Linked DNA regions of Sus scrofa. The protein of the gene in region 1 purifies or fractionates together with the protein of each later gene. This does not show direct contact. Links are inferred from orthologs where the notes say so. Each region holds a gene or a part of one and is shown in the gene's direction. Other genes may lie near its edges.

The links.
Region 2: the proteins of PFDN2 (region 1) and POLR3B purify together in Homo sapiens (affinity purification with mass spectrometry; 3 studies listed by BioGRID and IntAct, with this or other methods). This does not show direct contact. The link is inferred for Sus scrofa from reciprocal best matches to the Homo sapiens genes PFDN2 and POLR3B.
Region 3: the proteins of PFDN2 (region 1) and VBP1 fractionate together in Homo sapiens (co-fractionation; 8 studies listed by BioGRID and IntAct, counting the BioPlex papers as one, with this or other methods). This does not show direct contact. The link is inferred for Sus scrofa from reciprocal best matches to the Homo sapiens genes PFDN2 and VBP1.
Region 4: the proteins of PFDN2 (region 1) and PFDN4 purify together in Homo sapiens (affinity purification with mass spectrometry; 6 studies listed by BioGRID and IntAct, counting the BioPlex papers as one, with this or other methods). This does not show direct contact. The link is inferred for Sus scrofa from reciprocal best matches to the Homo sapiens genes PFDN2 and PFDN4.
Region 5: the proteins of PFDN2 (region 1) and PFDN1 purify together in Homo sapiens (affinity purification with mass spectrometry; 5 studies listed by BioGRID and IntAct, counting the BioPlex papers as one, with this or other methods). This does not show direct contact. The link is inferred for Sus scrofa from reciprocal best matches to the Homo sapiens genes PFDN2 and PFDN1.
Region 6: the proteins of PFDN2 (region 1) and RPAP2 purify together in Homo sapiens (co-immunoprecipitation; 3 studies listed by BioGRID and IntAct, with this or other methods). This does not show direct contact. The link is inferred for Sus scrofa from reciprocal best matches to the Homo sapiens genes PFDN2 and RPAP2.

The regions. Positions count from the first base shown.
Region 1 is NC_010446.5:89,338,591-89,342,423, forward strand, and holds the end of PFDN2 (prefoldin subunit 2), read left to right. Parts: intron 1-1,333; coding exon 1,334-1,422; intron 1,423-1,536; coding exon 1,537-1,660; intron 1,661-2,559; coding exon 2,560-2,736; 3' UTR 2,737-3,018; downstream 3,019-3,833. Other genes in the region: KLHDC9 (kelch domain-containing protein 9), read right to left, coding at 3,178-3,344. UniProt on the Homo sapiens protein: Binds specifically to cytosolic chaperonin (c-CPN) and transfers target proteins to it. Binds to nascent polypeptide chain and promotes folding in an environment in which there are many competing pathways for nonnative proteins.
Region 2 is NC_010447.5:13,804,360-13,809,028, reverse strand, and holds the end of POLR3B (DNA-directed RNA polymerase III subunit RPC2), read left to right. Parts: intron 1-3,325; coding exon 3,326-3,455; 3' UTR 3,456-3,872; downstream 3,873-4,669. UniProt on the Homo sapiens protein: Catalytic core component of RNA polymerase III (Pol III), a DNA-dependent RNA polymerase which synthesizes small non-coding RNAs using the four ribonucleoside triphosphates as substrates.
Region 3 is NC_010461.5:125,483,489-125,488,879, forward strand, and holds the start of VBP1 (prefoldin subunit 3), read left to right. Parts: upstream 1-1,868; 5' UTR 1,869-1,878; coding exon 1,879-1,971; intron 1,972-2,153; exon of another isoform or gene 2,154-2,359; intron 2,360-5,391. UniProt on the Homo sapiens protein: Binds specifically to cytosolic chaperonin (c-CPN) and transfers target proteins to it. Binds to nascent polypeptide chain and promotes folding in an environment in which there are many competing pathways for nonnative proteins.
Region 4 is NC_010459.5:55,153,771-55,158,919, forward strand, and holds the start of PFDN4 (prefoldin subunit 4), read left to right. Parts: upstream 1-2,001; 5' UTR 2,002-2,215; coding exon 2,216-2,239; intron 2,240-5,149. UniProt on the Homo sapiens protein: Binds specifically to cytosolic chaperonin (c-CPN) and transfers target proteins to it. Binds to nascent polypeptide chain and promotes folding in an environment in which there are many competing pathways for nonnative proteins.
Region 5 is NC_010444.4:142,074,833-142,080,280, reverse strand, and holds the start of PFDN1 (prefoldin subunit 1), read left to right. Parts: upstream 1-2,280; 5' UTR 2,281-2,396; coding exon 2,397-2,429; intron 2,430-5,448. UniProt on the Homo sapiens protein: Binds specifically to cytosolic chaperonin (c-CPN) and transfers target proteins to it. Binds to nascent polypeptide chain and promotes folding in an environment in which there are many competing pathways for nonnative proteins.
Region 6 is NC_010446.5:124,756,172-124,760,840, reverse strand, and holds part of RPAP2 (putative RNA polymerase II subunit B1 CTD phosphatase RPAP2), read left to right. Parts: intron 1-915; coding exon 916-1,014; intron 1,015-1,228; coding exon 1,229-1,294; intron 1,295-3,666; coding exon 3,667-3,755; intron 3,756-4,669.

The DNA.
Region 1 (3,833 bases):
AAGGAGTGTTTTAGAAGGATGGTGGTAGGTCACAGGATTGAACACAATGAAAAGAAAGGTTAAAAACTAAGCCACACAAAGTTCAAGCTCTAAGGCAATTGGAGTTTCTGTTATGACTCAGCGGAAACGAATCTGACTAGCATCCATGATGATACAGGTTTGATCCCTGGCTTTGCTCAGTGGGTTAAGGATCTGTTGTTGCCATGAGCTGTGGTGTAGGTCTCAGATGCGGCTCGGATCTGACATTGCTGTGGCTGTGGTGTAGGCATGTGGCTATAGACTCCTAGCCTGGGAACCTCCATAATGCCGCAGGTGGGGCCCTAAAAAGACACAAGACTAAATAAATAAATAGAAGAACTAGGGCAGCTTTGGGGATTTCAGAAATAGGAATGGAGGATCATCTCTATAAGACAACTTATAGGTATCAGGTGTCTTAGCCCCAGCTGTCTTCTGTACCTGTTTGTCCCTAACCAAAATTCAGTTCCTGTAGAGAGACTCCAGTATAGAATAGGTCACTTCTCCTGTGGTCAGGGAGCAAGGATCCTGAATTAAGGAGGGGCAGGCAGTTCCCCAGTGACAGGGATGCTGGGCAGACCCAAAGAAGAATTAACTCATTACAAAGCCTTTTCTTTTTGGGGGTTCCCCGCCCAAGGTATGTGGAGTTTCTGGTCATAGCAGCAGTCCAAGCTGCAGTGACAAGTGCTGGATCTTTAACCTGCTGTGCTACTCTTTTTTTTTTTTAATTAAACGAAGCCTTTTTTAATTTTATGGGCTGTACCTGTGGCATATGGCTTTCTTTTTTTTGCCGCTCCAAGGCACATGGAGTTCCTGGGCCAGGGATCAAATCCAAGCCCCAGTTTCACCTACCTGAAGCTCTGTAGCTATGGCAATGCTTAATCCTCTGACCCACTGTGCAGGGCCAGGGATTGAACCTGTGTCCTGGTGCTGCAAAGATGCTGCAGATCCCATTGTGCCACAGTGGGAACTCCATACAATCCTTTTCTGACAGCTGTCTTTACCTGCAAGTCTTGGCTTATCTGTAGGTTCTCCAGTATCTCTTCAATCCATTTTGATATAGCAAATGCCTGTTTCTCACCAAACTGTAAACTGCAAGATGGCATAGCAAATATCTCACCCGAGTAGGCTTGTAGTGTTGGGTGAATGGAATTCCAGACAGATTTAAGTTAAAAATTGCAAACTGTGTTCTACTCGTTTGACAAGGTAGGTGCTTAGTACATGTTTTTTGTAAAGCTTGCCATCACATGTTACATACTGACCTAGTGCCCTTTCCACTGTCCCCTTTCTCGCCTTTATCTCTTTCTCACCTTTTTAGGTAATTGCTGGCTTCAACCGCCTTCGGCAGGAACAGCGGGGCCTGGCATCCAAAGCAGCTGAGCTGGAGATGGAATTGAATGAGCACAGGTGAGGAAGCTGGGAGAAGCAAACAACAGGAGAGTTGGATGGGCCATTTTGTAAGAGAGGGTTGTGGCAGAGTGAGACTGAATCCTCAGATCTTGCCTTGTCCTCCTATCTCAGCCTAGTGATCGATACTCTGAAGGAGGTAGATGAAACCCGAAAATGCTACCGCATGGTTGGAGGGGTGCTGGTAGAGCGGACTGTCAAAGAAGTGCTGCCTGCCTTGGAGAACAACAAGGAGCAGGTGAGCAAGAATCCCTGAATAGACACCCTGGGCAACAAAAGGGTAAGGAAGGGGATGCCAGGGATTTAGGGAACATGGGGGAGGAAAGTCTGGGTAGGAACTCATAATGAAGAGAGTATAAATAGGCTATTACAGTTTGGGGGGTGGAGGGATGCTCTGGGGGTGTGGGATGGAAATCCTATAAAACTGGATTGTGATGATCATTGTACAACTATAAATGTAATAAATTCATTGAGTAATAATAATAAAAAAAGAAAAAACAATAGGCTATTAGCCTGTGCTCATTATGCTATGCCAAGTCTTAACTCCTTAGACAAAGGAGTTGCTGAGTAGGGGGAGGGGAGGTGGTCAGAGTGGTGTTTCTCACAGTTTAGTCCATGGATTCCTGCATCCAAATCACCTACAGGACTAATGTAAAATGCAGCTTCCGAGTTTGGGGTTTCTGTTGTGGTTCAGTAGGTTAAGAACCCAGTTAGTATCTGTGAGGATGCGGGTTTGATCCCTGGCCTTGCTCAGGGGATTAAGGACCGGTGTTGCTGCAAGCTGTGGCATAGGTGGCAGATGTGGCTTGGATCTGGCGTTGCTGTGGCTGTGGTATAGGCCGGCAGCTGCAGCTCGCAACTCTGGTTTGACCCCTAGCCTGGCAACTTCCATATGCTGTGGGTGAGGCCATGGGGGGGGAAAAATAGCAGCCCAGGTGATTCTTACGTACATTAAAGTTTATAAACTGTTGTTTTTAAGAAAGGAATACTTTTAGTGTCTGGGCTCTACTAGTAATACTTGGTTAAAGGTGAGATTAGAGGTGTCACCTCTCCTTCACTTCCCCCAACCATAGTCCATAACAGAAGAGGGAATGGAGTCCTGAAATCCTTATATAATCCCTGTTGTTTGCCCTCTAGATACAGAAGATCATCGAGACACTGACACAGCAGCTTCAGGCAAAGGGAAAAGAACTAAATGAATTCCGGGAAAAGCACAACATTCGTCTCATGGGGGAAGATGAGAAGCCAACATCCAAGGAAAACTCAGAAGGGGCTGGAGCTAAGGCCAGCTCAGCTGGAGTGTTGGTCTCCTAGGGACCAAGGCCTTTGCAGTTTTTCTACCCCGATTCCCACTTCTTCTAATTTCTCTTTATTATTATTATTATTTTCTCTGCTATTGTAATATTTTTTTGTTAATTAAATGTTTTGGTCAGAATGCTTACCTCTCACCTGAAGCTTTCTCCCAATATTAGGGGCAGAATTTGCATGGGACAGACAAGCATATGACTTGTGGTTTTGGTTCTAGCAGGTTAATGGCTCACAGTATCAGATTAGTTCCCATATTTTATCCTTTCCCTTGCAAATAAAATGCATCTCCTTATTTACTGCCCTCCTCCCAAAAAAGATTCAGAGACAAATGTTGACTCTCAGGTTGAAATTTAATAAGCATTTTGAATGAGGCAGATAGCTCTGGTGATAATGCTTTATGAGTTTGCAACAAAACAGAGGGTTGGCAGTGTGTCTTGGTACTATTCTTTAGACAAAAAGGTCCAGAATGCAAACCTGTGCACTAGCTGTCTGGCCATCCTCACCAAAACCCCCAACCAGGTAGAGCTGATCATTCCAAAGGCAGGTCCGATGGCCCACGCGTTTTAGCCCATGGTCTGCACAGGGGAAGTGGAACCATAGAGAAGGAGACGTGCCTGTTGGATAAGGGCAGAGGGTAGTTATTAAGGCAGTAGCGCTTTAGCCCTCATGGGGCTTTTGACAAGACCAAAGCCTTGGTTATTTTTCTCCTTACTTGATTTGTAAGCCTCTTTAAAATTTGATATTCTGGGAGTTCCCTTGTGGCTCAGTGGTTAACAAATCCGACTAGGAACCATGAGGTTGAGGGTTCGATCCCTAGCCTTGCTCAGTGGGTTAAGGATCCAGCATTGCCGTGAGCTGTGGTGTAGGTGGCAGACGCAGCTCAGATCCTGTGTTGCTGTGGCTCTGACGTAGGCTGGCAGCTCCTACTCCGATGAGACCCCTAGCCTGGGAACCTCCATATGCCGCGAGTGTAGCCCTAGAAAAGACCAAAAAAAAAAAAAAAAATTTAATATTCTGTGTGTGCCTTTAACTTGTCGACTAATTCTTCCTCCTTCCTACCCCGTCACTCTTTCCTCTTTCTTTTTGTAGCCTTCAGGTTCTCC
Region 2 (4,669 bases), on another chromosome or scaffold:
GCAGCCTGCTCATGCAGCCTTCTGGCAGAGGAGCGTAATGATGCTGTCTTTCTCCCGTCGTTACCTGATCGTGTGCACTGGGTTGTGTGGGAGGGAGCACAGCGTTTGCTGGAGGAAGTCGCTCTTTAATGAACCGCACAATGGAGGCTGAGTAATTAGAGCAGTTCAGAACCTTGAAACTGGCCTTTTGTCAGTGATTTGCACATTAGTAAGGCATTGCTATGGGGATGTTTACAGCAAGACTGTTGTTCTGCAGAAGACACGGAGGGCATAAGTCACAAAAGAGAGGTCCAGAAAGAAAACTGCAGAGAAAAGAAAATCCCTATTAAGATAATTAGCTCGTAGAGGATATTTTACTGGACAGCCATTCCTCATGTGAAGCTACAGCCTCCTCCTTTTGCTGCCTTTGCCCTAAAAAAAACAGTTTATTTTATCGTTGTTTAGGTCAGGTTTCTTCCTTTGGAAACCTTTCAGACATAGGGTAAACATTTGTATATTTTTATTTATGTACATTTATTTATGCCTATATGTGTACATAGCATTGGAACATCTTAAAGGATGGAGAAATATTTAATAACAGAGAATATTGATGGGCTTTCTGGATTATGAATCAGCACATATGGAAATTTTGAATAGATTAGCTTGGACTGAAGTCACAAGATAATGCACGGGACAGAAGAGTCAGTGAGAAGGTCCCCCGGTTAAATCCTTTTCTCCAATTTAATTAAAGCATGGAATCAATGCAGACACATTAAAAACATAGTTGTTAAACTATAATGCATTAAAGGGTCTTTAGGTGATCTTTTAGGAAAAGGCATCCACCGCATTCCTATTATTTCTATTGATGAACTCTGTTCTCTGCAGTGCTCGTTAGGGCCTCTGCAAGTCCCCTCAGGGGGACCCAAGCAAGGGACCATCATGGCTCATCCTTTTTCCATTCTCTTCTCCTCTAGAGGCTCATATCTACATAGCCACCCATCACCACATTCAGATTCTCAGCCTTAGTGCTTTTCTTTTCTAAAATAATAAGGCTTTATTTTACTGAGTGCAAAAAATGATCTCTGCTCTTTGTAAAATATTCATAGTTACAGAAATATGAAGAAAAATATAAAGAAAAATACAAATGTTCACATTAATTCCTACTACCCACCAACGACCACTCTTAACGTTTTAGTGACTCACTTGGGGACCTGTCTGTGTGCCAGTAGCTCTGGACCCTCTTTTGTTTTAAATCCCAAACTCTTTTTTTTTTTTTTTTTTTTTTTGTCTTTTTGCCCTTTCTAGGGCCCCTTCCCACGGCATATGGAGGTTCCCAGGCTAGGGGTCTAATGGGAGCTGTAGCCCCCTGCCTACGCCAGAGCCACAGCAACGTCGGATCCAAGCCACATCTGTGACCTACACCACAGCTCACGGCAACACCAGATCCTTAACCCACTGAGCAAGGCTGGGGATCGAACCCGCAACCTCATGGTTCCTAGTCGGAATCGTTAACCACTGCACCACGACGGGAACTCCTAAATCCCGAACTCTTTTGAGATTCTGATACTTGCAGAAAAATAAAAATATATAATCACACAAAATCTTGTTATATGTGATTTTGAGACCTTCATATATGTACTGAAACCCGTCCGAGGGCCCCCTTGTGCTCGTGCGGTTTAGCAGCCTGGTTTTTCTCCTTCACAGTGTGCCCCGAACACCATTACGTTTCAATCATATGGGTCTGCATCATCGCGTTTAATGTTTGCTCCGTATTCTTCTGTATACGTGTCCTGTAATCACAGCCCCAAGTGCTTACTGGACATGTGAGTCGTCTCCTATTTTATGCTGTCATAAATGGTGAGGCTGTGAACATTCTTGTGCACATATTTTGCCACTGTTAGGATTACGCAATGAAATAACAGGCACATCTATGTTTTATACCTGACTGTCTCACTGCCCTCCAGAAAGGCCTTTACCATTCTTTAAGGACCCTCCCTCCAGTTCCCAGTCAGCACTGACTTTTCGGATCCCTGGCTACTGTTTTGTACTCACCCCCACCGCCCCACCTAGTAACTGGGAGGACCTAGTTTTCAACCTATTAAGTCCCAAGATTTATACTGGGAACCTATTGTCCCAGATGCCCGACGTATAGGGTGAAGTCCTCTTTTTGGTCTGAAACCTGAGAGAATAATTCACTTTCTCCCCAGGAGCCCTTTTTTAGTTGTAGCCATTGATAAGACCTAGGTTCCATTCACTGGCTCTTCCTGAAGGAAGAGGAAAGAAAATCCTAATTGGAAGAGCAGGCACATTGAAGAGGAGCATATGCTGTTGCAAGGGTTAAATGGGACTCTGTGTACGCACGCACACAGGTTCTTTAGTTCTGCACAAGGTCAGCGCATCATAAGTACCGCTGCTTCTAGTACTAATAGAAATAACCGAGCTTGGAGTTCCCGTCGTGGCGCAGCGGAAATGAATCTGACTAGGAACCATGAGGTTGCGGGTTGGATCCCTGGCCTTGCTCAGTAGGTCAAGGATCCAGCATTGCCATGAGCTGTGGTGTAAGGTCACAGATGTGGCTCGGATCTGGCATTGCTGTGGCTGTGGCGTAGGCCAGCAGCTGTAGCCCCAATTAGACCCCTATACTGGGAACCTCCACATGCCACGGGTGTGGCCCTAAAAAGCAAAAAAATAAAATAAATAAAAAATAAATAAAAATAGAGATAAGCGAGCTTGAAGAGCACTGGAAAAATAAGTTGCATTTGATTGGGCGTCACTTTCTATATGAAAGTCTTATCTTTCCCATCACACTTCAAGTATTTCAGTGATAGAAATTAATTTGAGTATCTTGCCTAGAATAGTATAGTGTCATAGATGCTTTTCAAACAAGATCTGGCGTGTTCAGGGTACTGTGGCTATAGACCATAGATGCTTTTCCAATACATGGAGATGAATCAGTTTAAAGCACTTTCAACAATGAAAAAGTCTAAATATGAGTAACTTTTAGATGGTTCAGATTTCTGGGCTTCATTTAGAATAAGTAGACAGACAGCTATTTTGCATTTGAAGGAGAAAGGTCTAGAAATAAGAAAGTAACTGATTAAAATTCTGTGCTTTTAAAACTGGGGAAGCCATGTTTGTTTTGTTTTCTTTTGCTTCCTCGGATGCTGCTGTTTATTTTGGGGGCACATACGTACATATTTGATAGTATGACCGAACACTGAGGAATGGAAAGCTAATGAACTTGAAGGAACAGTAGTAGATTTTTATAGAGCACATCCTCACTTCCTGCATGCCGGCCTCCGATTCTGAGTTGCTGTCCCTCTAACACAACTGACTTGGGTTTCAGGTGCCATTACTGCAAGTCGTCGTGCCACGTGTCCTCCCTCCGCATCCCGTACGCCTGCAAGCTGCTCTTCCAGGAGCTGCAGTCGATGAACATTATCCCCAGGTTAAAACTGTCCAAATACAATGAGTAAGGATGGAGGAGACGGTTATTGAAAGAGAACGGTCGATACGCCCAGTGCAGTGGGAAGCAAAAGGGGTGAGGACCGATTCTGCTCCTATGCATCATTCCTTCCACTGCTCGCGCTCTCAAACAAACAAACAAAAGCACCCAAGGAAATTGATGGAGAGGCTTTTCACACCGTGGAAGACCGGCCGAACAGCCTCGAGCTACGAGCCTCGGGCCAAGGGAGAGGGACCAACCATACTGACTGTTGTGAAGTCTCTCGTCCATATATTGGAGGTGATTCACAAGTGGCTGGGACTGCAAAGATAAATAAACTTTTATTTATGGTCTGGTATCTTGAAATGTTCTCGTTCAAAAGACCTTCCCCCTCTAAAAGGATATTTGGGGTTAAATAAAACTCAAGATTCTGATGAAAGGACGTGAAGAATCTGTTTGAGTTGGTTGATTCAGCCTTTGTCCCAGAGGCTGATCTGAGCAGTATTTGAAGGAAGGACAACTTCAGGAAGCTGGCAGAGGGGCTGATAAGCAGGGCTTTCTTATCCAGTACATGAGGGGATAAATTTTCCCAACAACTGGATCTTGCCTTTTAACACCCAGCTTTTTAAATCTAATCTTGGCAAAGATAATAAATGTCTTCCTCCCATCTTAAGCAAATTTACTAAGGATGTCGCCTTTTCATAAGGACTAATTGCTGCTCTTCTGAACCTCTGTGGTCACACTGTGCAGGAATATTTGCTGACTATCTGAAAATAATAATCCATGGAGCTTTGAGTGACTGTGAGGCTAGGAGATAGGGGTCAGGAGGACATCGGATCTCACTGTTCTCCCAGCCCTTCAACCCTCCCCCAAAGCCCCTCGGTAAAATGGATTGATACCCCACCAAAAAAAAAAAAAATCCATGGATGCTTTATATGTTTTCCATCCCTTCTTTCCCTGCCAGGATGTTAGCTGCCCATTTTGTTTTGAATCTGCCAGCCCTCTTCATCCATTTCTAAGTTGGTCTGAATTGCTCTGCTCTAAAGCCTGATGAATATTTGTGTTAGGGATTGTTTATGAGGCAGAAAAGCTTTGAGTGGTGTGGTCGAAGGCTGCCTTCCCGGCATGTTACAGTGAACATGTCCCACAGAATATTAATAGGTATCATACACTGACAAGAAGCAAGGTACAGTGTCAAATCAGGCTGAGAAACCGGGTATATACAAGTTAAGCATACCAAGGACT
Region 3 (5,391 bases), on another chromosome or scaffold:
GACATATAGATATCCTGACAATATGATGAACACGGTATAAGTGTATTTCTTCAGGAATTCTTTAATTTCTCTCTGTCGATTTGGGGTTCTTAATAGTAACTAGCATGTTTCGTTATACAAGTACCAGGTGTTTTAACTTAATGGCATTGTTTAATTTCATATTCTAAGGTTGTGTTGCTAGTATCTAGAAGCTCCCACCGTCGACCACCACCTCTCTGTTCCACGGTCCGGTCCTCAGCCCCTCCACCCACGGGCCCTCCTGCTTTGCCCAATTTCTTTACTCCTCAGGCTCCCACCCACACACCCACTCCTCCACCCCCTCCCTTCTCCTCAGGCCTCCAGCCCTGCCCCCTCCCTGTCCTCCAGTCCCGCTCCCTTCCCTGCTCCAAGGTCCTCCAAGCCCTCCGTCCCATCTAGGTCTGGACCCTGGCGCAGTTCAAAGCCCCGCCCGCTTTCCTCACTCCTCCTGCCCCGCCCACCTCTCAGGTCCTCCGACCCCTTACCTTCGCTCTAGTCCCACAGGTCCTCAGTCTCGCCAGTTCTACAGCAACGGCTATTTTTTAAAACCCTTCCAGCGCCACTCTTTCCTCTAGCCCAGTCCTCCTCTGCCCGCCCCCTTCCCCTTTCCTTCAGCCCCTCCCCCGTACCCAACCTCCATCCCACCTCCCTCACTACTTCGGCCCTACTGTGTGGCAAGATCCTTATTAGGTATTCTACATACATAATCTCATTTCATCTTTACAGCAGCCTTGTTAGTACACCCTTGTTATTCTCATTTTAAAATATGACCTAGGTAATGCTCCTTTCCTACCCTAAATGTGCCTGTTACAGCATTTATTATATTATCTTACCGATTGTTCGGGTCCCTTTAGTTGTCTACAAACTAGGGGTTTAAATAACATGACCCCGTGACTTGCACATAGCCATTTTTAATAAATGTCCATCGCTATTATTATATGTTTGTCCCCACTAAGTAAGGGAGCTGACATATCCTTTATTCAGAAAGGGCCTGGCTTATGGTAGGCTTCGTACGAGTGGATGAAGCACCGCTTCCCCGTGAAGCACTCGAGTGCAAGCAAACGTAGGAGCAAACATGGTGGTTAGATGTCAGAAAACAGATGGAAAAATAATTACTTGGGCCTGTATAACGCAGTTACTTTCAAACGGTTGCAGCAGTGGATGATGTTGGGGAAGTCCTTGGGCCTAGGAGCATTGGAAGAGTTCTTAGGATTTTGCATGTACACTGAAGTTTTGAAAACGTTTGAGCAGGGGTGGTGAGAGGCTGATCAAAGGTGGCTTTTGGTAAATTTTGATGCAATGGACAGGGTATTTATTAGAATCAGGCCACCGCTCCCTGTGGAAGCAAGCATAAAGCAAGTCCCCTTCAAGGGTCAGGAAGCTCGCTAGGATGGTGGGACCAGAAGGACACCCAAGCCCAGTGGCGACGTCTAGGTTCCGGATTTGCTTGTATTCCAAAAGGGATCGTGTCGCCTCGCGAAGGCTATTCTGGAGAGCGCTGCCTGTTCTAGGATAGCAGTGGGATATGTCCCGGCTTGGTACGGGATCATCGGGGTCCTCCAGCCCGCCCACCCCCAAAACCGCCGGAACCCCTTTTCCCAGGACTCGGTATTGGTCCTTGCTGCAGATCCAGGTTCGCCTCAGCTGCCCTTCCGCGCCTGTCACTCACCTGTACGCAGCCAATCAGCATCCAATGGTCGGGAGTTTCATCCGAAGGGAGAGGGGCGGCTGCTTCCTGTGCGCCAATGAATGCGCAGACTCACACGCGAGGGGCGGGCCTGCGGGTGTGAGCGGGCCAATCACAGTCCCCCGGCGGCTGGCAGCCCGAGAGGCAGTTTGTCGCGCGCTCGCTTCCCCAAGATGGCGGACGCTAAGGACGGTTGTGGTTTGGGAGAAGTGGCTGCAGGGAACGGGCGGCGGCTCCACCTAGGGATTCCTGAGGCCGTTTTTGTGGTAAGAGGCACGCCGGTCCTCGGTATCTTGTCTCTGTGTGGTGGGCGACCGTTTCCTTTCTGGCCCCGACCCCGGCCTCGATCGTTGGGGGACGGAGTTGAGCGGGAGGACCTGAGAGAGTGCTCCGTCCTCTCCCACCTCCGCGCCGGCACGCCCTGTGCTGTGTTGGGACCCGCCCTCGGGCAACGCGGTCCGAGGAGGCCCCAGCAGATAAGGTGGCGTGGGGCCCGGAGGACTCGGGAGCGGGGGCGGGGCGGCCCCATCAGCCCCTCCTCCCCGCCCCACGCGGGATTTCCTCCCGTGCCGCCTGGAGAAAGGGAGGCGGCGAGGAGCTGGAGACTCAGCGTAGATGCTGGAGGGAGCGGTGTACACATGGTGACAGGATGCAGTGAGTAGGCAGAAGAGCTGGGGCTAAGGTGTGGAAGTAGGAAAATGGCACCTGGTCTGTTGCCTTGGGGGAGCCGAGTGGCGGGGAAGTGGGGTCGGTGAGAACGTGAGGCCCTTGTGTGTCCTGCTGAGGCACGGAGGCTTTAGCCAGTGGGCAGCGGGTGTCTAAAGAAGGCCACTGTACAGCCTGTTTGCTTGTAGGTACGTCGTCCTAATAACTTAGTAGAGAATAAATCGGGTGGAGTTCAGAGGCGAAGCAGGGAATGCAATTTTGGAGGCTTCGCAGAATGGGGAGACCAACCCGAGTCCAAACAAAGAGAAGCAAGTAGACGCTTCCACTCCTGCGCTTCCGTAAAATTCTCGAAATAGTATTTGAAAGCTCTTTCAATAATGAGAAAAGACCTGACTGCCCTTCCAGACCAATATAACCCGTCTCTGTCCACTCACTTCTGGCTGAACAACTATGAAATCTCTGTGGAAGTTTCTCGACCTTTTGGTTTGTGCCTCTGTTGCCTTATCTCCTCCACCTTTTTGTTAATCATATCTTAGAGTCTTCAAAAGACCCGTTTATTTTATTTATTCTTTTATTTAGGCCACTCTTAAGGTACACTATGCATATTTGCATGTGCCGATTCAGTTTTCTACTGTTTTCTTTATTTTGTCTTTTCTCCCTGAGCTGTGCCGTTTTATTTCTTTACCCTCATTTCCCACCTAGTTGTTAACTAGAGATACAATTTCTTAAATACCAGCCACTTTCCTCATGCTGTTACAAAACCCTAGGCGGCAGGTACTGTTATTCTCATTTTGTAGATGATGAAACTGAGGCACAGAACCCTGGAGTAACTTGCCCCAAGTCACGCAGGGTGCCAGAGAGTTATCCAGGGTTTGAACTTGGGCCCTCTGTAGGACTCTAGAGCCTCTCCTTACTGTCAAGCTCTGCCACCAGGAGGAACATGAGGTAGTTGTCTTGCTCACTGTCATTTCCCCTGATCCTGGCACAGTACCTGACACATAGTGTAAGCTTATAACCAGATGCTGAATTTCTGTAGTGCCTTAAAGTACTACAGTGATGGTGCTCAGCGAGACATGGGCTCAGCACTCTAGTTCACAAGGATAAACTTTATCTGAGGGCTTTATACGTTTTTCCTTAAAATGTTATGGGTTATTTTTTCTAGATCTTAAAATTTCTACCAAATGATAAAACCAATCCAAATTTTATGTAAATATTTTTATTTTCTCAAAGTAGTTAGAATAGCACAGCACAGTATAAAGAACATTGGTTTCTAAATAGACCAGAGTTTGAATCCTGCCTCTACTTCCCACTTGCTGCTCAGCCTCGAACGTATTATTTTACAACTTTGAGCCTCTGTTTCTTTAACTGAAATAGGCGGTAACAATACTTAGAGAGTTTCCACGAGAAACAGAATGTGCTTTCAGTATTGCAAGTAGATGCTTAATATATATTAGTTTCTGTGATGATAGGACGCAGTACCCTAGTTTGGTTTGTATCTCTATTGCCTTATCTCCAAGGCAGACCATCACTCCAAGACAGACTTCTTGGCACTTTCTTCTGTTCCCTTCACACGTTGTGCTGTAGACATAGCTAATGTTTGTTGAACACTTACTAGTAGCTGTTGTATGTCCTTCTGGGTATTTTACACATGCTAACTCACTTGATCCCCTGTGAGGTGGTTACCTCTTTTTCATTTTGCAGATGAGGAAATTGAGACAAAGCAAAAGGTTTAATAACTTCCCCGAGGTCAGTACATCTAGTATGTGATGAAGCCAGCATTCAAAACAGGCAGCCCCTGTCTTCTAACCATAAACCTGTGCTGCTGTAGTTAATTCTTCTTGCTGCAGTCTAACCTCCTAATAACATGTGCTAGAAACTTCGACCTCACTCAGTCTCTTTCTTCCTACAGTGGTCCTTCTAGGAAGATGCTATCTCCATTTTACATGCACGACTCAGCCATCGCTTCAGCCTCACCTTTTCAATTTCTTTTACTGTGTCTAGCTTGATGGCTTCATAATTCACTCCCTTGCTGTGTTTCTCTTCCTTTTTCTTCTTGTCTTGTTTTGGCTAAAATATTCCCTTATTGCTAGTAAGCATGGATAAGAATAATGATTTAGAGATCCCATAAACTGTAAGATTTTTGAATTTAACTTACTTACAGTGAAGGACTAAGGTTCTTTAAACCATTGGAAGCCTCTTATAAAGTCTCCTTAAAGTTTCCATGTAGTTTCACCTATTCCTGATCCTGATCTAATTAACAAGCTTTTCTTCAAGGACCCAGCATGTGTAGAATACATTAAAGAAAAAAAAAATGCCGTTCGGTTTTATTGCTTTTCTTTTGCTTAATTATTCCTGTAACAGAAGATCCTTCTGTTTGCCCTTTAGGTTTACTTTATTTCAACCACTTCATACTTAAGGAGGCATTTGTGGCTTGTCTTGGGAACCCAATGACCATATTTAGCATGACTTCTATGGCAGCACTTGTTTAGTTAAAAATTTAAGTAATAAAATTGGTAATTTTGGGAGTTCCTGTCATGGCTCAGTGGTTAATGAATCCGACTGGGAACCAACCATGAGGTTTCGGGTTTGATCCCTGGCCTTGCTCGGTGAGTTAAGGGTCCCGCGTGGCTGTGGCTGTGGTGTAGGCTGGCGGCTACAGCTCCGATTGGACCCCTAGCCTGGGAACCTCCATATGCCATGGATGTGGCCCAAGAAATGGCAAAAAGACAAAAAAAAAAAAAATTGGTAACTTTGGCATACAACCTGTCGAGTCATTTTTGTGGCTGCGAGTGCTGCATGGAGGATGCATAAAGCAGACAAGGTCATCTTTCTTTCCTTGTATATAAATAAAAAGAGGAAGGTGGAAGAGGAATAACTTATATACACAGTGTATGTGCGCTCTCTGAAATGGCCTCTAGCTTTTTATAACTGCTTCTTTCTTAGTTAAAAAGCAAGCTTTTGGAGAAAGAGAAACACAGGCTCTTTTTCTGTCTTAAAAATAAACTTAGGAAGTTCCCGTC
Region 4 (5,149 bases), on another chromosome or scaffold:
GCCAATGATTGAGGCGGGTGATCGAGGCGGCTGCGAGGTGACCTAAAGGCCAGGGGATTGGGAGGTTCTGGGAAATGTGGTCCTTGAGAGAGGGAGAAAGCAAGAGAGAGAGAGAGAGAGATGGAGACAATGAGTTGTGATGCGGAAGTGGGGAGGTAAGAGAAAAGGGGCCCCTCCTCTCTCTGCCTTTGCACCTCGAGGATGACAAGGTGATGCCTGAGGAAGTAATAGCTGTCTTGTAAGGACCACGGGAAAGCCGAGGACTGACAGAAGATTCAGCCTGGAGCCATAACATCTGCTGTGGTCTGCAAGTTTGTGTCCCACTCTGGCCCCCAAATTCAGACCTTGGAATCCTACAATCCCCTGGGCTGTACTAGGAAGTGGGGTGTGTGGGAGGTGCCTAGTCAGGAAGGCGGAGCTTTCAAGAAAGAGATTAGTGCTTTTATAAAAGAGACACCAGAGGAGTTCCCTGGTGGCTCAGCAGGTTAAGGATCCAGCATTGTCACCGTTGTGGCTCTGGTTGCAGCTGTGGCGTGGGTTGGATGCCTGGCCGGAACTTCGGCAAATCGAGAGCAAAAGGAAAGGGGGGGAGGACACCAGAGAGCTCCCTGACCTCTCCTCCACATGAGGACCCAGGAAGAAGGCTGTGAACTAGGCAGACCGTCCTCCCCTGACCATAGGAGTATAGAAGCCTGAACTTAGGAAGACAGCCTTTTCGAGCTGCTGGTCCAGCCCAGGCCCCCTCTTCTGGCTTCAGAGACCCCTCCTTTCCTCTCCTTCCCCCTCCCCAGCCAGCATTTCCAAAGAGCCCCTCCGGGCCACCAACTTCTGCGCCTCTCTGTCTCAGCACCTCATTTATTTCCCCCTTCATGCACTTGGCACCATTCATAATGATTTTCACTTATTTGTTCTGTTTCCCCTTCACTCCCTCTGCAGGGCCTTTAAATTTTGCTAGTTTGTGAGCTTTTAAATGAATGAGGGTCATTGATGGAGCTCCCAATATGGACCAGATCCTGTGAAAAGATTTAATCCTGAAAAAAGGTCTTCATTCAACAAATACATATTGAGCTCCTGGGAGCTGGGCACAGGGAAGGCCTCATGCAAAGGGCTTGGAGTCTGGAGCTGGCACCCTGACAGAACAGGCAGCACCGCCGCGTGGGGCTAAGTGCTTTGGTAGGGAGGGCAGAGGGTGCTATATGGCCCTGTTAGCCCCACATCCCAAAGACAGAATTGGGACTTTGAGAAAGGAGACTTGTCTAGAACAATTCTCAAACCCCTACGGTCCTGGAGATTTCTTCACGGACTCTGAGGGCCTCCCTTCTCTAACTACATATCTGCGAGATCAGATTTTCTTCATCTATGTCAATTAAACGACATATTGCAAGAGATTGGATGCAGAAGTTGTGAGCATCTAAGCTTCCATTAGGCCAAACATTAGAGAGATTTGCAAAAATGTAAAACTATGCCCTTCTCAATTCCCAGCCCCCTTGGAAAATATGGTCATTTAAAAATGTCCCTTACACTAATGTGGAAAGGATTTTTATTATTTTAAACTAATAAAGGCATTGAAATTCTGTTTTAATTTCTAACATGATAAATATCGATGAATATAGGAAAGGGGTTCTTTGCGGGATCCTCAAAAATTTTTAAGAGTGTAGAGGGATCCTGAGGAAAAAAAAAAAAACAACAATTAAGAATTGGGTAGCACACGTTAGAATACACAGTAATTGCTGAATAATGCTGTTAAATAACTACTAGGAGTACTTCCTTCTTTGTACCATCTGAATTATCTGAGCAAGGATATGTCTTTAGCAAGGTCATTCGTTCTTAGCTTTTTTAGGGAGGTGGATTTCTTGTAAGGCTTGTGGAGTTGAAGGAAAGGAACTTCCCTTTTTTCCACTCGCTGCCGCGCCTTGCTCGGCGCCCCCTGCTGCCGGCTGCTGGAGCTGCGGCCGCTCGCCACACCCCCCCAGTTTCTGTCGGCCCACAGGGAGTCGCCCTTCCCTTTAATTGGCATGTACCAAGTATTTCCAGGTTACATGTCCTCCCCAAGTCCCAGACCTTAGGAATCACTGATCTGAGACCCAGTCGGAGGAATGTAGAGAACGCGTTGTATTTGGCGGGAGCCCTGGGCCGACGGGGAGCGAGGGAGGGCGCGGGGCCGAGGCGCACCTTGACGGACCCTCCCCGCCTCGCGCCGTAGTCCAGTCCCAAGATGGCGGCCACCATGAAGAAGGCGGTGAGTGGGGCGCTCGGGGTGCGGGATGCTCGGCCGGCCGGCGGGGCTCGGCCGCGGGGTGCTGGCCCCGGAGTGCTGGGGGTGCGCAGCTCTGAAGCACGGCGTGGGGCCCGGGGCCGAGGCTCCCGACCCTCAGGGCGGCTCCCGGGCGAGGCCTGCCCGCGCCCGGCGCCCAGGGGTGCTTTTGGGTCCCGGGCCGAGGTGGCCCGGGATCGGACCCTTGGAGGACTCCGGGCCGCCTCTGGCGGTGCTGAGGATGGCCCTGGAGAGTCTGGGGCTCCCGCCCCCCAGGCCTTGTCCTCGCGGTGTGGGAAGCCGAAGGGTCCGATGGACTGCGGTTGGCCGTAACGCTGGGCGCTGTACCTGGGTTATCGCGTTTAACCCTCACAAGTTCCCAAGGATGGGTGCTACTGGTACCCTCCTTTGGAAGCAACGATGCTGAGGCCCAGAGAGGTGGAGTCACCTGCCCAAGGTCACACAGCCGTAAGAAGCAGGGCAGGACCCCGCATCCCCGGGATCACTGGCCCAGGGCGCCTGAGCCACCGACCTCCACGCTCGATGCTCCTGCGCCTCCAGACTAAAACAAGTGTATGGAAGAGCGGCCGGCGGCCCAGAAGCCATCGGTTGACTATTTCTGATCCTTCCAGCAATTTAGCAAGGGCACGTTTTCTTCCCATCTTACAGCTGGAGAAACTTAAGACACAGAGCAGTTAGTGACTTCAGTGTGACTCAGCTAATAAGCAGAGCTGGGGTGCAAATTCAGGTTCGATTGTGTTTTTCCCAAAGCCCACCTTTTATTCTACTAAGCAAGCAGAACTCCTGAACACAGGTCAGTCCACCCAGATGCTTAGAGCTGTCTAGAGAAAAGGAAAATGGAATGGAGAGAGTCCGGAAATAGCATCTGGTGTTTCTGTGCAGGGCACTAAGCACATTGCAGTGCATTATTTATTCTAGTCTCACGCTCCTCTTAGGGCGATGCTGTTTTTAATCCTTATGTTACAGGTGAGGAAGTTCAAGAGGCAAGTTAGGATTTGAGTAAATAAACATGGGCGTTCTGCCTCCAGAGCCTGTGTTTTCAGCTTCCCTAGTGTCTGCTGGGAGGCCCCTGGCTGAAGGGATTTACTTTGTAGGTTTTGGGTGTGTTTCCTTTCGTTCCTCTGTAAGACCACGTGGGAACGTGCTTCCATGGCTTTTGTGCTTCACAGCACCTCGTAATCTAAGCCGCCTGATCTCGGTGTAGGGTGACCAGTCCATCCCAGTTTGTCTGAGATGGGGGGGGGGGCGTGCAAAAACTGGGGAAGCCCCAGGCAAACCAAGTCATGAGTTGTTGACCCTGCTGGTCTGTCCACCACAGAGTCTTAATTGAGTGCCAGATAGGGTTTAGGGCCAAGGTGCTTCAAACCAGTGTGAGACCTTGTGAGATTCACTTGGCTTGGATTCTGTATTTAACTTGGCCCCTCTGTTAGCCTTTAAGTCTGTGCAAGATACTAGTTGTGGTTCACCCTCAATTGACAGATGTAGACACTGAAGTCCAGAGAGATGAAGTAAACCTTGAGGAAGTGGTAGAGGAATGATTTGAACCCTGGGCCTGATGGCAAACTTTTTGATCACCCACATTTTTTCAGTCATTCAACAAACTTTTTGAGTATGTGCTGTGACACAGTCTCAGTTTTCTCTTTCTTTCTTTCTGTCTTTTCTTTCTTCCTTCCTTCCTTTCTTTCGGCTGCACCCATGGTATATGGAAGCACCCAGGCTAGGGTCAAATCAGAGGTGTAGCTGCTGGCCAGCGCCACAGCCACAGCCATGCCAGATCCGAGCTGTATCTGCAGCCTACACTGCAGCTTGCGTCTGTGCCGGATCCTTAATCCACCAAGTGAGGCCAGGGATCAAACCCACATCCTCACGGAAACCAAGTCAGGTTCTTAACCCACTGAGCCACAGTGGGAACTCCCTGTCTCCGTTTTAGGTGATGGAGCTGAGAATGGTGAGCAGGAATGAAGTTCTGATCTTCTCATAGCATTGGAGAACCTGTGCTGTTGGGGAGAGGCAGCTGTTACTCAGTAGTCCCACAGAGAACTACAAGTTGCAGGTCCAGCGAAGAGCAATGCAAGAAGGGCACGAGCGAGAGGGTGGAGTAAGGTCTGCTTGGGGAGCAGGGAAGGCTTTCCTGAGAAGGTGTGATCTCGTGAGAGCAAGAGAAGGTCGGAAAGGCGGTGAGACATTCTAGAAAGGGAGTACCTCTTACAGAGGCCCCGTGTGCATCAAATCAAAGCGTGACCAGAATGACAGAGAGCCGGCGGGGGGAGGTTGCACCAAGATGGTGAAAGAGCTTATAGAGGGGTCGGTGGCGGCCAAAACACACGAGTGTTTCCTCCTTTTCTCAGTAGGACGCACGTAAACATCTTGCAAAGGTGCCTGGGGTCGTGGACAGTGCCCGGTGGGTTAGCACACGGGCCTTTTCCTCTGCCTCATCTCAGAAGAAAGCAGAGGCGCGCCAGTGGCTGAGAGTGAAACATCACGGGGGTGGTAGCCCTTTGCAGGCGATGAAAATTGTTAGCGGCCTGGAGCGCTTTATCCTTACAACGCATGACCTCCCAACAGCTCCTGACATTTTCTGTTCGGGAGTGGAGGTGGTCCAGGGCCATCTCCAGAGTTCTGCTTTCTCAGGTCTAGTCCTTGGCCACGAGGGGAGCCACGGTCTGATTTCTCAGGGAAGCCGCCTTCGACCTTCCCCAGCTCTCAGGAACTTCCATCCACCCCCATCGCATTATCACCATCTACCAAACAACCTGGCTTTTTGCCGCCTCCTCTCCTGGATGTAAGCTCGCCAGTGTTCATGTGCCAGCCTCAGGGATACTTCTCTTCACAGTGCCTTGCATCTAGGACATGCTAACTCTTTTTTTTTGGTCT
Region 5 (5,448 bases), on another chromosome or scaffold:
GGCAGGGAGGTCACAATGAAAGAAAGAGAGGGATCAAAGATGATTTGTAATCTCCTAATAAGTATGCTGAGTGAAAGATGGCTAAGAGTAACATGCTGTATGATTCCATGTCTATAAAGTTCTAGAATATGCAAACAAATCTAAAGAGACTTAAGAAGATCAGTAATTGCCAGAGAGATTGGGGGGGGGGAGACTAAGGGGGAAGCAGAAGGAGCATTAGATAACTTTTGTGGCGATAGATTTATTATCACAATTATGAAGATGGTTTCCTAGATGGGAACTTATCAAATTATACACTTTAATATATTCAGTTTATTATATGCCATTATACCTGAATAAAGATTTTTTTTTTAACAGAGAGTTTCCTGGTGGTCTAGCAGTTAGGATTTAGTGGTTTCATTGATGCAGGGTTTAATCCCTGGTCTGGGAAGTGAGATCCCGCATAAAGCAGCTGCCTGATAACTGTGTGACAAGTAATGTAAACAAAAACAAAAACAATAAAGGAAGAGTTTGCTGGACCTTGAAAGGCAAACACAACAATGCTAACTGCTACTTAATTACAACTATTTATCCAGTATCTACTTGTGCATTGTGTGAAACTTGGAACTTTTCACCTTGATCTTATTCTTTGCCCACATAACACTGTTAGGGTAATATTATTATTCTCTCTCTGTCTCTGTCTCTCTCTCTCTCTTTTTCTTTTTCTTTTCCCCCCAGGGCTGCACCTGCAGCATATGGAAGTTTCCAGGCTGAGAGTTGAGCTGGAGCTGGAGCCGTTGGCCTATGCCACAGCCACAGCAATGCAGGATCTGAGCCTCATCTTTGACCTACACCACAGGTCACAGGCAACACCGGATCCTTAACCCCTTGAACAAAGCCAGGGGTTGAGCCCTAATCCTCATGGATGTGAGTTGGGTACATTGGCACTGAATCATGATGGGAACTCAATAATATTGTTATTTCCATATTAAATAAGGAGACAAACTCTATTGCTACACAGTAAGTAGAACCAGACATATCTAGGCACAAGGTAGACCAAACCTTAGCTACCTTGGAATCTGTCTGGTTCTAAATTACCTGCCCTTTCCTCTCTCTTACAGGTTTTTAGACTAGGCAAAACATCCATTTCTTTCATTTCTAAAAGTCCAATTACCAGCCATCCCTCTGGTTCAAATGCCAGATATTTTACATAAGATTCTCAAAATGTGGTTTGCAGACCACTTGGGGCATTTGCAAAGGTGCAAATTTCTGGGCCCTGATCTCAAAGATTCTAAGTAATTAAGTTTGGGATAAGGACCAGAGAATCTCTGTGTGCGTGTTTAAAATATACATATTTTATTTTATTCATTAATTTTTTTGTCTTTTTGCCTTTTCTAGGGCTGCTCCCTTGGCATATGGAGGTTCCCAGGCTAGGGGTCTAATCGGAGCTGTAGCCACCGGCCTACGCCAGAGCCACAGCAACGCGGGATCCGAGCCACGTCTGCGACCTACATCACAGCTCACGGCAACGACGGATCCTTAACCCATTGAGCAAGGCCAGGGGTCGAACCCGCAACCTCATGGTTCCTAGTCGGATTCGTTTCTGCTGCGCCACGACGGGAACTCCAAAATATATATATTTGAAACAAACTAATTTGGTTTGTGAGAACCACTGTGTCAAGAAGGTCTTCCATGAGTGTTCAGTATAACTAAGTTCTTTGGAGGAACAGTTCGGCTAAGCCTTCCGGTTTTCTCTATATTGGCATGTATGAGGCGTGGGCTGAATTTTCGTTTTTTGTTTTTGTCTTTTTAGGGCCGCAACATATGGAGGTTCCCAGGCTAGGGGTTGAATCAGAGCTGTAGCTGTCGGCCTGCATCAGAGCCACAGCAGCCATCCCAGTCGTGTCTGTGATCTCCACCACAGCTCAGGCAACACCGGATCCTTAACCCTCTGAGCCAGGCCAGGGATCGAACCTGCAACCTCATAGTTCCTAGTCCGATTCGTTTCCTCTGCACCAGGATGCAAACTCCTGGGATTCTTTGTCCTCCCTGACAGCACAGGGACCCTGACTGAAGAGGTTTTGGCCTCATCTACATACATCTCAATTTAGCAGCACAAACTAAGGTATTTGTCAAAAATACTTAAAACCATGCACGAAATCTGCGCGTGGTGCGGTGTCTGGAAGGATGTGGAGAAACAGGCCAAGCCTATAGGTCACGAGAAACATGTGCTTTTAATCGGAATCTAGGGTTCTCTGGGTGGAGGGGGGATTCCTAGCGCTGGAGAGCGGAGGAAACCAAGCAGCTCGGCTCCTGCGCAGGCGTAGAAGGAAAGGGGACGATCCGCCAAGGCGCGCCCTTCCCCCACCCTTCTTTCCGGCCTTCTCCCAGCGCGCAGGCGCAGAGAGGGAATCAAGATGGCGGCTCCCGTGGATCTGGAGTTGAAGAAGGTAAAAGAGGGTTTTGAGCAGGCAGGCTTCTCTTTGGAAGCTAACGGGACCGTAGACAAGAATATCGAGTGAGACCCAAGTCCCGCGGAGGGAAGAAGGTCCCAGGGCATTGGGGAATGCTTTCCCAGAGTCCTTCAGGCGGGACTGGGTCGCCTTAGGCTGGAGTCGGGGCGAGCAGCTCTTTGCTGGAAGAGAGCTGGTAGGGCTGGGGCTGGTTAAGTCTGGCGGGCCGATAGCTGTTTTGAGTCCCTTGTTCCGGGCTCCAGAGCCCTTTCCTTGTTCTTGGAGCCTTCAGTCCTATTGTAAGGCCTGAAGTGAGCGTTTCAAGTTGGAGCCCCTTGAGACAGCTTGCCCGAGCTGAGGCATCCGTAATTCTGCATCCTAATTTGCTTTGACAAACTCCAGGTCCAACCTGTGTTTTTAGGCCACTTCTTCAATCCCGTACCTCTAAGGTCGCGACATACTCTTAAATCAGATATTCTCAGCACTGTTTGGCTCCCTCCCTAGCCCCTCCACCCCTCCCCTTTTAAAGGGTTTGTCAAAAAAGAAGCAAAGTCTAGTGAAAGTTTTCTAAATGGAATCGGTATCAGAAGGAATTGGGTTTCTCCCTTCCCATAGTTGCCTGTAAATGTGTTGTTACTCAGAGACGTTTTTGCCACTTAAAGAATTGTCAGGATTGTGACACCGCTACCAACTCAAAAGCATATCTTTTTTTTTTTTTTTTTTTGAGAGGGGGATGGGTTGGGGATTGGAAAGGATCTTAGACTTCATCTGCTCTAAACTTTTACTTTTCTAGAAATAAAAACAGTTACAGAAAAGACTCAGGCCATGGTTAGGATCAGAATCCAATATTTTCTGCCTTCCCGCCTTTTGGCCATTAGTTTAGGTACTTCAGAAGGGCATCTTGTACTAAAACCATTCCGGTCAACCTTTGTGTCAGACATAGGGCAGGTGAAATAGCTTTTGCACCCAATAAGCAAAGCTGTTTACTATTGCTCTGAGGATTTGTGTATGTCCTTTTTGCCATTTTTGTTTCGAAACTTGTATCTTTAGTCTTTACGTGGTCTCTAATGCTGTCCCATCTTAGCTTTAACAATATACTAGGTTCCTTAGCAAACTGTGTCGTAAAGCATCCTAAAAGCCCCCCTCCTTTTTTTTTTTTTCTGTTCAAATTAAGTCAGGGTTTAGTGAAAGAGCCAACAATAGAGTACAGCTGTGAATGGGTTTACCTCAGTATTATTTGAATTTGTTGCTAGGAAACCTGTGGGCAATGAATGCAAACTAAGAAAATGTTACGGACTTAAATTGATTGCAGACAAATTGATTACAGACTTAAACGATTATAGACTTAAATGAGTACAGACTTGAATTGGGTAGCTTTGACAACCAGTGAAATTAACTCAAAAAAACTTGTTTAAGGATATTCTAATGTCTTTATAATGTCTTTTTTTTTGGTCATTTTTGGCCACCCCACAGCATATGGAGCTCCTAGGCGAGGGATCAGATTGGAGTTACAGCTGCGACCTCAGCTGCAGCTGCAGCAATGCTGGATCCCTAATCCACTGTGCCGGTGGGGTTTGAACCCTCATCCCAGTGGCTCCCAAGACTCCACTGGTCCCGTTGCGCCACAGTGGGAGCTCGGGTCTTTTTTTTTTTTTTTGAGTGGAGACAAGTAGGACATTTTAGGCACCTCCTCTAACTCTAAACAAAATTTTGAAACCTTACTAGTAGGTGAGAACAAAGCCAGAGTAGAAGTTAAATAGCAGCTTTTGCCATGCATTGCAGCCACAAAAATTATTATTCAAGTATTAAGGCATAAATTTGACAGGATGTGAAAGTCATTCTAGGCTCTTCAACAAGAGTACCTAGGAGCTTTTTGAGTTAAGGGTACCCAAGGGTCAGATTTGGCTTGGTGTGTGCCTCTGTCATGATATAATTCTTCTTCCAGTGTTTCAAATATTTTCTTTTTTGTCCTTCTCTTAAAATATGCATTTTCTGAATATTACTATAGACAGCAGAACGGAAAGGTTTTTGAACTAGAAGTCAAGAAATGGACTTAAGAGCTCACTTTTAGACCTCTTAGTTGTTCAACCATGTGCAAGTCATTTATATCTCTTTCAAACATTTAGTTACTTAATTTATAAGCTGTGGTGATGAAACTGCTTGCCCTAACTCAGGATTGTTGAGAAGAGTAAATGAGGTATTTATTATTACATCTATTAGTGTTCTCATATTAATATTTACATATTAATAGTTCAAAAAATGTGGGAAAGTGCTTTGAAAACTAGTTGTAAAATATAAATGTAGTGAGTAGTTACATTTATGGTTCTTGTTTTGGATCTCTGGGTTTCATCCGCTGACTGTTGCATTTAGTGCCTATATTACTCCTTGGGTACCTGCTACTTGATATGTTTATTATTTACCATGTCTTTGTTCTGCTGCTTCAAATAGACAGCATCTTTTGAGGACTGGGTAAATTCAAAACAGTTGACCCTTGAACAACACAGGTTTAAACTGCGGGGATCCAATTGTACATAGATTTTTAAAGGTATTACTACAGTACCACACACTGTGTGATTGGTTGAAATCCAGATGTAGAACCAAGGATACAGAGGAACTGCTATATGGAGGGTCAGCTGTAAATTACACTGGGATTTTTTTTTTTTTTTGGCCATGCCTAAGGCATGTGGAAATTTCTAGCCCAGGGACTAAATGTGCTCCACAGCTATAACCAGAATCACAGCAGTGACAACTCCAGATCCTTAACCTCCTAGCCAGGAGGAAACTCCTGTACTCAGCATTTTGACAACATGGAGAGTCAGTGCCCCTAAGCCTTGAGTTGTTCAAGAGTCAAGAATATTTAGCATAGTGGCTTGATCATTTATAATTATATGAACGTTTATTGATGTTTGCGCAGGTAACAAACATCAAATTTTATAACTTTGTCTCAGCAGGCTTTATTTTAATATGTTTAAATTTGACTTAAATATTTTCTGTAAAATGTTTCACTTACTAAATC
Region 6 (4,669 bases), about 35 Mb from region 1:
TGGTTAACAAATCCGACTAGGAGCCATGAGGTTTCGGGTTCGATCCCTGGTCTCGCTCAGTGGGTTAAGGGATCCGGTGTTGCCTTGAGTTGTGGTGTAGGTAGCAGATGTGGCTCAGATCTGGCATTGCTGTGGCTCTGGCTTAGGCTGGCAGCTGTAGCTCCGATTAGGCTCCTAGCCTGGGAACCTCCATATGCCGCAGGTGCAGCCCTAGAAAAGACAAAGAAAAAAAAAAAAAAGAAAAAAGTTGAAGTTATATCTTATTTTATTTGGTTTATTTTTGAGTAATACTTTTTTGGTCTTTTTAGGGCTGCACCTGTGGCATATGGTGGTTCCCAGGCTAGGGGTCGAATCAGAGCTGTAGCTGCTGGCCTATGCCATAGTCAAGCAATGCCAGATGCAAGCTGCATCTGTGACCTACACAACAACTCACAACGTCACCAGATCCTTTAACCCACTGAGCCAGGCCAGGGATTGAACCCATATCCTCATGGGTACTGGTCAGGTTCATTACCACCGAGCCACAATGGGATCTCCTGAGTAATGCTTTTTTTGAAATAAAATACACTATCAGTATTTTCCTTTGTTATAGCAATCACTATAGATTACTTTTTCCTCCTGCCTCAGAATTATTTCATGAATTTTATAATCTACAAAGATGCATAGCAGAAATTTGGGGGGGGTTTGTGAGTTTTTTTAAATAATAGCTAACTAACATTTTTTGAGTATTTACTGTGTGTTGAGAAGCACTTTTCTGAGTGCTTTTCCTTTATTTTCTCCTCTGTTTCTAACATCACACCTGTGAGATAGGTACTGTTCTGATCCCTGTGTTTTCAGATGAGACTGACGAGGCTTAGAGAGCTGATAAATTTTTCCAGTCATCTGATGGGAAATGTCCATATCATTTCACTGCAGGGGAAGTTCATCACACCTGCTCACTACAGTGACGTCGTGGACGAGCGTGCTATTATCAAACTCTGCGGCTATCCCTTATGTCAGAAGAAGCTAGGAATTGTAAGTAACTACTTTTTTTTTTTAAGATGTAGACTATTAATTTTTATATTTAGCAAAAAAAATTGTGTAGAAAGAGTAATAAATGAAACTGAGGTCATGAACGAATGACATGGGTTAGCCTAAGATATGCTCCATAGATGACTTAATCTTGGTAACTATGAAGTTCATGTTTATTACTTGAATTTTTTTGTAAGCTGTATTTTCTTTTCTTTAGGTACCAAAACAGAAATACAAAATTTCTACCAGAACCAATAAAGTCTATGATATTACTGAAAGAAAGGTAAGTTTAAAGGCATTTTCAATGTGGCAGTGGATATATAATATTACACTAAATGGGATTCTAAAAATAGGCCTTTAAATTTTCGCCTTGTAGAAAATAGCCATATTAAGAGTTTTTCATTTGTAAATAATTTCATTCAAAATGTTAAAAAAAAAAAAAAAGAAGAAAACTCTTTGCTTACACTTTAGTTGATATACAGACCTTTAAAAATTAAAGGTGCATATTGGCACAAATTCAGGCAAGTGAATCATAGAACAGAACAGAGGGCCAGAAACAGAGGCACTCCTTACATGGACACTGGGTATATGACATCAGGAGTATTTTAGATCAGTGGAGAGAGGATGAATTTTTAATTTTTTTATTTTTGGGGGTGAAGGAGAAAAAGGTAGCTTTATTGCTTTACCAGGTGAAGGGGGCCACAGCAGGCTAATGTAATGCCTTAAAGACTGTGCCCAAGGATGGATTTTTAAATACATAGTAGTGGCACAATTATCCATTCCAAAAAAGTGAAAACTCTATCTCTGTGTATATAACAAGCTCACTTTTAGGTAGATTAAGAACCCAAATGTAAAAGACAAACCTTCTCAAAGACATTATGGGAGAATATCTTTATCAACTTCAACTAGAGAGAATTTCTTAAATAAATAGAAAATTATAGACCATAGACTAGAAACAATTGAAAATGTTTGCTTATTAGAAGTTTCTAAAAAAGAGTGAAAAGGTAAGCTACAAATCAGGAGTTATACTTCTCACATATAACTGCCCACAGATTCATAACTAGAACACATCATCTATAAAAAAAGGTAAAAAACTTGATTAAAAAATTTTTATGGAAGGAATCTGAATGGTTCATGAATATATGAAGGATGCTCCAGCCTCATCAGTAGTTAGGAAAACAGCAAATAAAAACACACTGAGTTACATTTTTGCAGCCCCTAAAGTAGCAAAATTTTAGAAATCTGACGATATTAGTAACTCTTTATACTCTGGTCCAATAAGAATTGGTACAATCTTTTTGAGAAGCAGCTTGGCAGAGTCAAATAGGTGGTCAAGTTTACACGGTCTTTGTGGCCATTCTCCTCTTCTTCTGTGTCCACCCTTGTCCGTGTGCACTAACCTATACGTACATAGTGGGGAGGGTGTGAGTGTTCCTCGTAGGGTGAGCAAAATATGTACACACATAGCACGGACTGTTACATGGTCTTAAAAGGGAAGGAAATTTGGGCACAAGCTGCAACTGAATGATCTGAAAACATTATGCTAAGTAAGAGAAGGCAGCACAAAAGACAAAATACTATACGATTCTACTTATATGAGGTAATGTGTAGTCAAATTTGTAGAGACAGACAGTAGACTTGTGTTTGTCAGTCGGGGAGGTGAAAATGGGGAGTTATTGTTTAATATGTATAGAGTTTCACTCTTGCAAGATGAAGAGAGTTCTGGAGATGGATGATGGTGACAGTTGCACAACAGTAAGAAAGCACTTAATGCCTCTGAATTGTACAGGTAAAAATGCTTCGATGATAAATTTTGTGTATTATACCACGGTTTTTAATTTAAAAAATTATAATTAAAAAAAGGTTCATAGTAACATTGTAATGATAACTAAAAGTTAAAACTCAGCCTTAACAGTAACTAAAGGGGAGTTCCCTTCGTGGCGCAGTGGTTAACGAATCCGACTAGGAACCATGAGGTTGACGGTTCGGTCCCTGCTCTTGCTCAGTGGGTTGACGATCCGGCGTTGCCGTGAGCTGTGGTGTAGGTCGCAGACACGGCTCGGATCCCATGTTGCTGTGGCTCTGGTGTAGGCCGGTGGGTACAGCTCCGATTGGACCCCTAGCCTGGGAACCTCCATATGCCGCGGGAGCGGCCCAAGAAATAGCAAAAAAAAAAAAAAAAAAAAAACAGTAACTAAAGGGTGGAATACTTAGGCATTGACATATAATACACTGTATAAATGAATAAACTATACCTACACAAATGAATCTCAAAAACATAACATGGAAGAGAGGACTCTAGGAATATGTAACTATATGGTTCCATGTAGACAAAGTTTAAAGGTAAGCAGAACTGAATGATGTATTTTATAGGAAATGTATGTGGGTAGCAAAACTGAAGGAAAGCAAAGGAGTAACGCAGAACCCGTGATGATAGTGGTTGCCTCTGGGGAACTCGGAGAGAGATGCCATCAGGGAGGGACACGTAGAAGCCTGCAAGGTTCTCTACTTTCCTTCTTACCCTGGCTGGGAGATTCAGTGGATTTCGTTTTTTTTTCTCTGAACTACATATTTATATTTTATATTCTCTTGTGCATGTAAGGTGTGTTTCACAATAAGAAAAATAATTTGCTGGTTTTTAAATGTTCTTTTCAGTGTTTTTGCAGCAATTTTTGTTATAAAGCATCTAAGCTTTTCCAAGCACAAATTCCTAAAACTCCAGTGTGGGTTCGAGAAGAAGAAAGGTAATTTAAATCATTCCATATACGTTTATTCATGTATTCTAATAATTTCTTTCTGCCTTTTGAGATATGTAGAGAACAGGTCTGATTTTCTTTGGGATGCATTTACTGTATACATTTTAGTTGTGGGGAAATGGTTGTATCTCAAGCAGAACTATTAAGGATTTTACACTTAAAATCAGAAAATTAACTTACAGAAATGTTAGTTGTTTGCTATTTTAGCTTTAAGCACAAAATCTGAACTTTGCTTTCTGCTGTGGTGGCTATTTCTATTAATCCTATTAATGTAATAATCCTGGGGTAAGAATTTTAAATTTTTCCAGAAGATACTGGATTTTGGGAAGCAGCCTAACTCACTGTGTTGTCAGGAAACTATATAGTAAGGTTAAAAAGTTCAGGTTACTAATTCACTTAGTCTTTACTAAAAATTACTGTAATATTTTATAAATTTAAAGAAAGCCAATTTAAAGAGTCATTTTTAGCAGAAAAGTTTATAGACGTTCTTGGGATTTTACCTCTTGAGAAAAGTTTAAATATAACATTTGGAGTTCCCGTCGTGGGTCAGCAGTTAGCGAACCCAACCAGCGTCCATGAGGGCACGGGTTCGATCCCTGGCCTCACTCAGTGGGCCAAGGATCCAGCGTTGCCATGAGCTATGCAGCCCAGATCCTGTGTTTCTGTGGCTGTGGTGTAGGCCAGCAGCTACAACTCTGATCGAGACCCCTAGCCTGGAAACCTCCATGTGCCACTGGTGCAGCCCTAAAAAGACAAATAAAAAATTATAATAAAAAAAAATAGCATTTTAGTAGTTGCTGAATTTGAAAGAGAATTTATTACATTTTAGTAGTTGCTGAATTTGAAAGAGAATTTATTACTGAGAAGATGGTATAATAATATTTAAAAGGTAACAAAAATTA